Linked DNA regions of Xenopus tropicalis. The protein of the gene in region 3 interacts with the protein of the main gene of each other region in a pairwise test. Links are inferred from orthologs where the notes say so. Each region holds a gene or a part of one and is shown on either strand. Other genes may lie near its edges.

What was found.
Region 1: the proteins of nckipsd (region 3) and nck2 interact in binary tests that used the Homo sapiens proteins (3 or more experiments, as listed by UniProt). The two-hybrid records come from large-scale screens. The link is inferred for Xenopus tropicalis from reciprocal best matches to the Homo sapiens genes NCKIPSD and NCK2.
Region 2: the proteins of nckipsd (region 3) and stac interact in binary tests that used the Homo sapiens proteins (3 or more experiments, as listed by UniProt). The link is inferred for Xenopus tropicalis from reciprocal best matches to the Homo sapiens genes NCKIPSD and STAC.

What each region holds. Positions count from the first base shown.
Region 1 is NC_030678.2:110,097,481-110,101,048, forward strand, and holds part of nck2 (cytoplasmic protein NCK2), read right to left. Parts: intron 558-3,568; 5' UTR 542-557; coding exon 316-541; intron 1-315. UniProt on the Homo sapiens protein: Adapter protein which associates with tyrosine-phosphorylated growth factor receptors or their cellular substrates. Maintains low levels of EIF2S1 phosphorylation by promoting its dephosphorylation by PP1.
Region 2 is NC_030682.2:60,578,248-60,581,815, reverse strand, and holds part of stac (SH3 and cysteine-rich domain-containing protein), read right to left. Parts: intron 1,204-3,568; coding exon 921-1,203; intron 1-920. UniProt on the Homo sapiens protein: Promotes expression of the ion channel CACNA1H at the cell membrane, and thereby contributes to the regulation of channel activity.
Region 3 is NC_030680.2:136,184,303-136,188,606, forward strand, and holds the start of nckipsd (NCK-interacting protein with SH3 domain), read right to left. Parts: upstream 2,802-4,304; 5' UTR 2,713-2,801; coding exon 2,542-2,712; intron 1-2,541. UniProt on the Homo sapiens protein: Has an important role in stress fiber formation induced by active diaphanous protein homolog 1 (DRF1). Induces microspike formation, in vivo. In vitro, stimulates N-WASP-induced ARP2/3 complex activation in the absence of CDC42.

The DNA of each region.
Region 1 (3,568 bases), on a different chromosome or scaffold from region 3:
AGCTTTGGGCACTAATAACATACATTAATAAAAAAATTCCTATGGTTTTATTTGTAAATGTAATTGCTATCAAAAGTAGTATTTCCTTATCTCTTTCAGTCATTCCTCCTGCAAATCTGTTCATCAGCTGGATATTGCTTCAGAACCAGAAACATATTTGCAATTACACTTAAAATTACTTTAAAACCATTAAAAATGTTTAACTCATGTGAAAGTTGCTTACAATTATATTTTTCATTATGCAAAAGGTTTTGGGTAGACATCTCCCTTTAAATACTGCTGTGTTAAAATTTACATTAAAATGTAGAAACCTACCCAGAGTGTCCTTTAAATTTTTAACAAGAGATCCTTTTTTTAAGCTGTTCTTCCTCTCCACGTAGTTTGATGGCACGTATCCAGTTTTGTTGGCAGTGTTTCTTACCCTCCACCAGGTTTTGGAGTCATCAAGTAGCCACAGGCGTTCATTTTTTCTAATATCAAGTTCTTGGTCCTGTTGTGCCGTATAATCCCACTTGGCAATAACAATGACTTCCTCTGTCATCTTTCATGGAGTCAATCTGCCAATAAAGACAATAAACATTTTATTACAGTATTAAAGTGCTATATAACTACAACCAATACTTAATAAAAGACTTTGTACAATGTACAAAGTACATTGTAATAAGTATTAAAAACGGTTTAATGAATGGTAATGTTAGTGATGCCAAATTTCTTTTAAAAATATTGTTAAAGGGTAAGTAAACATTTTATTCAAAGTTCTACACTTCCCGTTTAAATGTACATGTCTCATACTGAGTACTGTAAGAATTTGCATTCACGGCAAACCTATTATTATCCTTTATTTATATGCAGCCACAACTTATAAGTACTTTACAGAGATTATTCATCATTGACAGCCCCCGATGTTCAGTTGGATCAGTTTTAGTAGTAAGTTCCCAAGTGTAAATCAAACTTAGGACCTCAAAGCAGCAAGGCAGGAGTTCCAAGATCTAAGCCACCATGCAGGTCTATGACTAAATACGCCTAAATACTATAAATATTTAGATAAAACCTATAATATGTCATTAAAGGAGAAGGAAAGTTTCACTCACTGGGGAAGCGGGTATCAGGTAATGACTTACCTGATACCTCAGGCTAGTGCCCCCTTACTCTTCATTGAGCTTTATGGAGCAATTCTTTTCCTGCTTATTCTTTCTTGGTGCAAGTGCACATGTGCAGTAGTGTAAGAAGTACAACTCTACTATGCATGGTCAGCCCCGGGGGAATGAATAAAGAAGCAGTGGAAGAAGAGGAACGCTCTGTGGTGCTTGTTGAGAAGTACCCCAAGCTGGTGCAGTTTTCTGCTAACAGGAGCAATGACCCAGGGTATCGGGTAAGTGATTACAATCACTGGGAGGGTACCTAACATTTGGTACCCCCAGTGCACAGAGGCGTTCCTTTGTAAAAGAAAACTTGTCTCTAATAATAGTTAGGCTCAATAGTTAACTACCATTATAATCATAATTAACCTTTTTTTCAAAGTATGTACAGTATTTATGATCCATCCAAACCTCACCTTGTTGAGATTTGCTGAACAGCAATAAACCGGTGTCAAAGTACCCTAGACATTGCATAAGCTTTTGATCTAAAGGTTTTTTCAAACACTAAGTTAGAATTAAGGTCATTTCAGACTGTGCATTATTAAAAGAGAGTGTGTCTAGACTGCTATAATGATGTGTTAGTTAAGCCATATTGAATCTACTCTAAATTAGGCTCTGCTAAATAAAATATGATCAGCAAAAAGTACACAGCTTTGTCTTTTGGTAAAAAAAAAATGATTTTAACATTTGTAGCTTTTGGCAAATCTGTTGTACAGGTATGGGATCCATTATCTGAAAAGCAGTCATCCAGAAATCTCTAAATTACAGGAAGACCATCTTTCATAGAATTCATTATGTGTTCCTATCTTATTATAAACTCCTTATAGCTTTAGAATCATTAAGAAATATGCATTTAAATACACTAAGGGGGTATATTTATAACATTGTGCATAATGACTGTCCACAGATAAGGGGTATGAAATGTAGAGGACCATAAAACCAGCATGGACATAGTTCTGTACACAAATACTTAAACATATTTTACATTTAAAACCTGCTACAATAAACAGGTATAGGACCTGTTATCCAGAATGCTCGGGACCAAGGGTATTCCGGATAAGGGGTCATTCCGTAATTTGGATCTCTATACCTTAAGCCTACTAAGAAATCAATAAAACATTAATTAAACCCAATATGATTATTTTACATCCAGTAAGGATTAATTATATCTTAGTTGGGATCAAATACAAAGCACAGTTTTATTTTTACAGAGAAAAAGGAAAATCAATTTTAAAAATCTGAATTATTTGATTAAAATGGGGTCTATGGGAGACAGGCTTTCCGTAATTCGGAGCTTTCTGGATATCGGGTTTCTGGATAAGGGATCCCATACCTGTATACCCACATTCAAAGTACAACTTTGCAATTATGCAGATATTGACATGGTGTACCATAGCACTAGAGTGGAGATGCTTAATGTATTCTAAAGCTTCTTTATACACAAACCCTTTAAATATAACCTTAATTACATATATTTTTAAGCATTTTTATTCTGGTACAGGACCTGTTATCTAGAATGTTTAGGACCTAGGTCTTTCTGGTTAAGGGATCTTTTTTTAATTTGCATCACAAAATACATTAAACCATTAAATAAACCCCATAGGATGGTTTTGCCTCCAATAAGGATAAAGTTTTTCTTAGTTGGGATCAAGTACAAAGTACTGTTTTATTATAACAGAGAAAAAGAGAACCATTTTTAACAAACTGAATTATTTGCTTAAAATTAGGTCTATGGCTATGGAGATGGCCTACCATTAATTCAGCGCTTTCTGGATAATGGGTTTCCAGATAACGGATCCAATACCTGCAGCAGAAGCTATGAAATATCTTACTGCTTTCCCCTATATTTTTCTTTTCCTTTTATTTACACAGCACTAACATGTTATGCAAAACATTACATTGTTAGTTATTCACTCTAGTGCCTGCTCCAGTGAAACTAAGGGCAAGAACCAACGGAGCGGCGGTGGAGTCGCCTGTGATAGATTTCTGCTATCGCAGGCGACAAACTGTCCCTGAAAAAAGGCTTTCCACCAGCAACAACAGCAGTCCTGGTCGAAAGCCCTTTTGCATCGCTTCTTTATCCGAACTCCTGCGAAGTTGCCAGCAGGAGGAAACTTTGCGCAACTTCTGATTATCTAAGTCAGTGCTGTCCAACTTCTGTGGTACCAAGGGCTGGAATTTTTCTTGCCTACATGGTGGAGGGCTGATAATGGAAGCCAGTTTTGACCACTCCCCTTTTTTAAACCACACCCACTTCAAACTGCACCCATGCTATCACAAGAGCTTTTAAGACCATCCCCACATTAATGGTGGCAACACAGCAAAAACCCAATGGTTGGTGCTCACTGAAGGGATATCACCCTTAATTTATATATGAAAGAATTATATTATGTCATACACTTAAATCGATATGCCTCCTCCTCTTATGT
Region 2 (3,568 bases), on a different chromosome or scaffold from region 3:
CGGGTTATTTACTGAGACCATAGATGAGTACTAAGGGAACAGAAACGCACCTCCCCCTGCTCTCCCTTTATGAATACATTGCTACCAAGAGATTGTCATTGCTACCAAGAGATTGACCTGAGGCAATTCTGCCACCTGGAGATATAAGGGGCCATGGGCAAATCTGCCATGTTTTTTTTACTTTGCTCCCTACCCTTCAAGTAGTAAATGACCCCTTATATTTGTCTACTGGAACGCAAATCAATTATTTTGTTTAGACTGCTATCTGCCCCAGATCACAGTAGGCATACACTGGTTAAAAGAAGAAAAGAAAACAGAAGACAGGACATACTGCAAAGAAATGATGATTTTCTACTATATTGTACACATAATTAGCACGATCTGAATGCAATATAATCCTCTGGCACTGTGAGAAATCCAAATGAGAGCCAGTCATGTGTGTCTTACGTTCTCTTGAGGTTTAAGAAACCTTAGGGCTAGTATTAAGACATACAGCATCAAAATCAACACATCTAGTAGCTTAGATCCAATTATCCAGTCCAGAAATACTGTTGCTAAATCTTCATACAAAAACATGAATAAAAACTATGATAGGTCTATTCTCAGTGAAATTTAGAATGATGTAGTTACAAAAGACAAACCTTAATCTGAAGTACATGAACATACAAGGAACAAGCAAATGACCAGGGTCCCATGATTAATAAAAATCCTCAGACAATAAGCACTGGATTCTTGATATAGAAATGTATGACATTTCCTAAATACAGACCTAATAAACACATGAACCAAACCCAGTGTTCCTTCAACATTTAAGATTCTTTCATGACAAAATAATTAAATCCAACACTTGGTAATTACCTGTATCACTGTGATAACAATGCTCTTAATCTAGAAATGTCCCCCTAGTATATAAACCTTACCTACAATCATGTGGTTGCATACATCACAGAATGTGGGCTTTTTGAATATATGTTCTTGAAAAGCATGGGACTTGCTATTGGATGCTGGCTGCACAGTAGCTTTGGTTGGAGTAGAGGATGGGCTCTCAGATGGTAGAATCTGGTTGCTACCAATTGGGTTTATTTCTGGCTCCAGGTCAACTTGGAGTTTCATGTCACTGTTAGTCCTTTGAAAAAAGTTTTCTGCGCTTTTACTTCGGATACTCTTGGTCTTGAATGAAAGGGATTTCTTAAGCTTCTGCAGCTGTAAGGAAACACAAGTACTGTCTGAAACTGTGTTTATGTTTATGCACAATACATTTGATTCATTTGTGATTAAATTTCAATATCTGTTAACTATCTATCTATCTATCAATAATTTATCTATCTTCTATCTATCAATCTATCTAATATCCAGTTTGGGTCACAAAGCAAAAACACAGTGTCACTTGGGTGCCTGTTTAGAACTGACCAAATTGACGGCACTCAGGAATTATGACTAATGCCTAAAAGTGAGGATTCTTTGCTCCAGCGTTACTGTTTCCCACAGGAACCTTCGTCAGGTTTGTAACTGAAACCATTGGAACAAAAATAACTTCACTTATGCATTAATTATGGCTGTGTAAGGGCCAAATAGAATGGAAAATTAACCTTAATTTACTGAAACAGGAAATGTCTTTATATGCTTCCCTGCTTACTTCTATTGCTTCTATCATTTTGAGCGATAGACCAGCTTCACAAGAACATGTTTGTGACATAAATATATAAACATCATAAATTATAATCAATGACAGTTTCTATTCATCCACAATGAACAATTAAGGCGATTAACTTAACAGTTGTACTTAAAGGTAATTTTACTATATATATATATATATATATACAGATGCTTGGAAAAAGGTACTGCTCACACAGGTCTTAGGATCAGGTTTAAAGTTTTTATTGTAGAGGCAAGGGAACTGATGTTTCGGCTGCAACACCAGCCTTTGTCAAAGTTACAAAGTTGCTCTTTGCTCTTTGCTTGTTTATATGTACTTGGGCAAATAAAATACAATTTTTTCACGGCTTGCATCTTCAGTGTGCTACTGGATTTTTTTGCTGTAACTTTGACAAAGGCTGGTGTTGCAGCCGAAACGTCAGTTCCCTTGCCTCTACAATAAAAACTTTAAACCTGATCCTAAGACCTGTGTGAGCGGTACCTTTTTCCAAGCATCTGCAAACATTTTGTTGGGACTGCACCCAGGCACATTTATCAGCTTTACACATGAGTGCCGGCTTCTGCTGCATATTATATATATATATACCGTATATACTCGAGTATAAGCCGAGTTTTTCATCCCTAAAAATGTGCTTAAAAAGTAAATATCGGCTTATACTCGGGTATATACGGTAATTGCACTCAAACTACATGCAATACGGCCGGCCTTCAGCAGCATGTAGCGGCGTGCGCGTGACATTATGCGCAGGGACATAGGGGCACAGTGGAGCACAGGAGGAGCAACCCTGAGCCCCCCCTCCCTGGACTTCCCCCGTGGCCGGCCTTAAGCAGAATGTGGACGCGGCGTGCTCGCTACATTATGTGCATCGCGCGGCTGCACATTGAGCGGCGCGGCCATGAGGAGCACATCCTGAGCCCCCCCTCCCTGGACCTCCCCAAGGACACCTGTAGCACCGTTCGCAGGACAACGGCAGCAGAACAGCCTAGCAGAGCACAGTAAGTGACACAAGAGCAGCACCGTGGCACCTCCCTCTAACCGGAGCCTTTTTCCATTACTCCACACTGGATAGTTAGGATAACATTTGTGTGCTGCTTATTGAAATTGCTGTGTGGAAATACTGTATGTAAAACGTGTTTTTGTTGGATTTGCAAGTATTTATTTTACATGTACACAAAGCTAATAAGGCTTTAAATAGACTTTCAATTATTATTGTAATTAATATACTATAGTATATGACACAGTATGTGGATATCTGCCTGTCCAAAATGTTTTTTAAAGAATCAGGGTTATTAATGTGAAGTTGTCTCTTTCTCTGTTGCTAAAACAGCCTTTTACCCTCTGCTGCTTTTCACTAGATGTTGGAAATTTTTTGATTAATTTGCTTCCATTCATTCATAAGAGGCACTGCTATTGGGTGATCAGGCCTTACTCGCATTGGTGTACCAATTCATCAAGTTTAGCTTGAAGTCAGCGCTCTGTGCAGGCCAATTAAATCCTTCTACTCCTTCTATTCATTGAAGTGACATCCAGAACAGTAATTTACTGTATTTAAAGAATACAGAAATGCCATATTTAGTTATGGGATTAAAGATTTTGTATACCGGTATATGGATGCTTTTCATGCTGCACCATTGAGGGGCTTATACTCGAGTCAATACATTTTTCCAGTTTTCTTAGGTAAAATTAGGTACCTCAGCTTATATTCAGATCGGCTTATACTCGAGTATATACGGTATATATATATACACCTTCAGAAAACGGCACTCACGGCATAAAGTCCAACCATAGATACTGGGGATCCCCAGCGGATCGAAACGCGTAGATATGAAGGTCTAATAAAGTATCTATGGTTGGACTTTATGCCGTGAGTGCCGCTTTCTGAAGGTGAATATGAGAATTGATGTGCACCCG
Region 3 (4,304 bases):
AATATAAAGTAACAATAACATTGCAGCCTCACAGAGCAATAGGTTTTTGGCTGCTGGGGGTCAGTGACCCCCATTTGAAAGCTGGAAATGATCAGAAGAGGAAGTCAAAAACAATTAATAAATAAAAACTGAAGACCAATTCAGTATGAGACCAACTACTCCTAATTGGGAACCAATTGCTGTGAAGCCACAAGATACCACCGTGCTGTAGCACCGCCACGCTCACCTACCAGCCTGCCCATATATATGCCCAATACTTACTAAGCCTGTGCTTCTCAAACTATGGTACCAGCAGCAGCCATTATATGGTTACAGAATCCCTCACTGACTTCTAATATCCTTATACTATAATGGGGGGGACATTATTCACTATATAACACACAAGAGTCATAAAGATCCAGTTGAAGATATCCTTATACACTGTGGAAAGACTACTTTGTGAGGAAGGAAGGAATCAGTGTTGCACAGGGAACACTTCACCCAAGCACAGATTTTATATGGCTTTCTCTACTTTCACGCAAGACTCCATTGTGCCAATAATGTCCCTTGAGGAGTGACAGTGACAGCGCATCAGATTGGGGGCTGCTAATAGGAGCGGCCAGACTGTGCATTTACTTTCCCCACTACTTCTCTCTGTATTATCCTACTCACACCAACAGCCCTGGGCTCAGCCATTCATCCTCTTCATGGCCCAGTAAGTACCCAATGCAGGCTAATAGCCCTCACAGCATAGACATATATATATTAATTATCTGGTGAATTTGGTACATTATTTATGTCTAAACTGACAGTTGGAGGGGGCAGTTGGGCATTCCATGTATTGATTCTGGTATTGTGTGTGACCAGTGAGTAAACATAATGGGAATGTACCATTGGGTAGCATATGACGGGGGCAACACAGTGAGTGATAACTGGGGGGCAATAATGAAAGCTCTATTTGTTTGCTTTCCTATCTGGTTAAACCCTAAGGCTGCCAGTGCCTTTATGCCAAGGCTACAGCTTTGGGCATAATTACAGGGTATTTTTTGTTACTAAAGGCTGCAATGTGCCCTCTGACCATTTACACTCCCTAAGGGAGCGGAGTGCAGCTTACCCCATGGAAAACAGTGGGGCTTTAATCCCTGACAGCTCTGCAACTCTCAGCCATGGCACTGAGCCAAACAGGCACCGACCCATACAGGCACCGACCCGCACAGGCACCGACCCGCACAGGCACCGACCCGACCCCACAGGCACCGACCCGACCCCACAGGCACCGACCCGACCCCACAGGCACCGACCCGGCACCGACCCGACCCCACAGGCACCGACCCGCACAGGCACCGACCCGCACAGGCACCGACCCGACCCCACAGGCACCGACCCGACCCCACAGGCACCGACCCGACCCCACAGGCACCGACCCGCACAGGCACCGACCCGACCCCACAGGCACCGACCCGACCCCACAGGCACCGACCCGACCCCACAGGCACCGACCCGACCCCACAGGCACCGACCCGACCCCACAGGCACCGACCCGACCCCACAGGCACCGACCCGACCCCCACAGGCACCGACCCCCACAGGCACCGACCCGCACAGGCACCGACCCGCACAGGCACTGCCAGGCCCCAAGCTGCTCTGCAGAGGTTTGAAGCTGCCATAGAGGAGCAGAGCCCTGGCAGGGAGTGAGACTGGCATGATGGTTACACAGCGCTATATACAGGCACTAACAGATACAGGCTGACAGCTCTGCTCCCCAAGATGTTCTGCAGCAGTGTGGGGCTGCTCTAAACCAATAGGCTGCGGACACAGTGGGCGGGACATGTTGGGGTTCTGGGTTACAGGCTCTAGTGTTGGGGTCAGGCTCTAGAGTTGGGGTTCTGGGTTACAGGCTCTAGTGTTGGGGTTCTGGGGTACAGGCGCTAGTGTTGGGGTTCCGGGGTACAGGCTCTAGTGTTGGGGTTCTGGGGTACAGGCTCTAGTGTTGGGGTTCTGGGGTACAGGCGCTAGTGTTGGGGTTCCGGGGTACAGGCTCTAGTGTTGGGGTTCTGGGGTACAGGCTCTAGTGTTGGGGTTCTGGGGTACAGGCGCTAGTGTTGGGGTTCCGGGGTACAGGCTCTAGTGTTGGGGTTCCGGGGTACAGGCTCTAGTGTTGGGGTTCTGGGGTACAGGCTCTAGAGTTGGGGTTCTGGGTTACAGGCTCTAGTGTTGGGGTTCTGGGGTACAGGCGCTAGTGTTGGGGTTCCGGGGTACAGGCTCTAGTGTTGGGGTTCCGGGGTACAGGCTCTAGTGTTGGGGTTCTGGGGTACAGGCTCTAGTGTTGGGGTTCTGGGGTACAGGCGCTAGTGTTGGGGTTCTGGGGTACAGGCTCTAGTGTTGGGGTTCTGGGGTACAGGCTCTAGTGTTGGGGTTCCGGGGTACAGGCTCTAGTGTTGGGGTTCTGGGGTACAGGCTCTAGTGTTAGGGTTTTGGGGTACAGGCTCTAGTGTTGGGGTTCTGGGGTACAGGCCCTAGTGTTGGATGCTGGGAGATGTAGTTCTGCATTCACTGCCTTACCTGGATCCTCTCCAAATAAGAAGCCGGCACATACCCCGTCTCCCCGCTGCTGCAGCGACTCGCCAGCCACCAGTGCTGATTGGACCTCTCCAGGATCAGGAAGCTCTCTCCGGCTCCGAACAGCAGCGAGTTGGGCTCCGGGGAGCGGAAAGCGTACAGGGCTCGGTACATTGCGTTCCTATTGCTTCCAAGTCTCAGCAGCGGAACTGTCTCACCGGACCGGGCCAATCGCAACTAAAGCGCGTACTCGTGCCAAGGCCGGTCACGTGATCTCCAGTCGGGGCCGCGCACTGTGCGGGGAAAGCCCAGGAGCAGCCCCGCCCCTGCTCAGGTCATGTGACCTACAAGCGCGACCGGCGCTTCTTTTTTTCACCAAACTTTATTGTTCGTCTGACACTGAATACATACACACTGTTGTCTGAGGGAAGCAGCGATATCCATGCACCGCCATAGCACACACCGGCTTGTTAGCGTGCAGAGAGCGCCACCCCGAGTCCATTCCGCTGCCTTACACACCGGGTTTTAGTAAATAATTCCCGAAAATATCCGAATGTGCTGAAATTCTTTACAATGAATGAATTCAACAGAATTGTTTCATCCGCCCAACAATAAGTGTTGTAAACCAGTATAGGGAGCGCAAAGGTTACCAGTAAAACAGTCACATGATCGTCAAAAAAATGGATATTCAGAATGACTGAGATAAAGATCCGTATGTGACTGAAAAACACCGCGTCCCTGGGTGGGCTCGAACCACCAACCTTTCGGTTAACAGCCGAACGCGCTAACCGATTGCGCCACAGAGACGGTGCAGCCCTGTTACATTAGGCTCCCTATTGGATTTCTCACACACAGGCTTTCCGTATCCTTCCGCCGCGGCGCTGCGCTCACTAACACCGACTCCCACACAAACCGCTTACATATTCTCTACCAATCAGAATAGCGTTACCGGATACATTTAGTTACGTCATAACAGACACCGGTGCCCGGTACCGACACGGCAGCCGAAATAGCTCAGTTGGGAGAGCGTTAGACTGAAGATCTAAAGGTCCCTGGTTCGATCCCGGGTTTCGGCAGAAGCTGGCTGCACTTTTTGTTTTAAAGCCTCATATAAGCGCAGGGCTGAAGGTGCAAGCAACTTGCTTTATTTATAGATATTAGTGCAAAAAAAAACCCCACAATGTAATATATATAGTTACATAGTTACATAGGGTTGAAAAAAGACCATTGTCCATCAAGTTCAACCCATCCGAGTAAACCCAGCACCCACACCCTATACTAACCAATCTATACACTCACATACATAAACTATATATATACAAACATTAATACTAACTGTAGATATTAGTATCACAATAGCCTTGGATATTCTGATTGATCAAGAACTCATCCAGGCCCCTCTTATAGGCACTAACAGAATCTGCCATTACCCCATCTATATGAAAAGCTTAATGCAATGTACAAAGAAGAGCGGGCTGCGCACTTTTACATTGAGTTGTTTATATAAAGGGGAAATATGCTAGACATTCACATTATTTTTCTTGGTCAGTAGCCGTAGGGCCGCTGGTTGATTTGCACCCATCCTGCCAAAGTGTAGCTATGGCTCCATGTAATGAAGCAGCGCCCCCTAGAGGCCAAACAGCAAAGCAAAATAGTTAATGAAATGGCAGCTTGGGTGTTTAAATGAGACATAGGATAGATGAATAGATATCTAATCTTGTAGGCAGTTATGAATAATATATGGTGCTGGTTTTACTTTGTGTTAA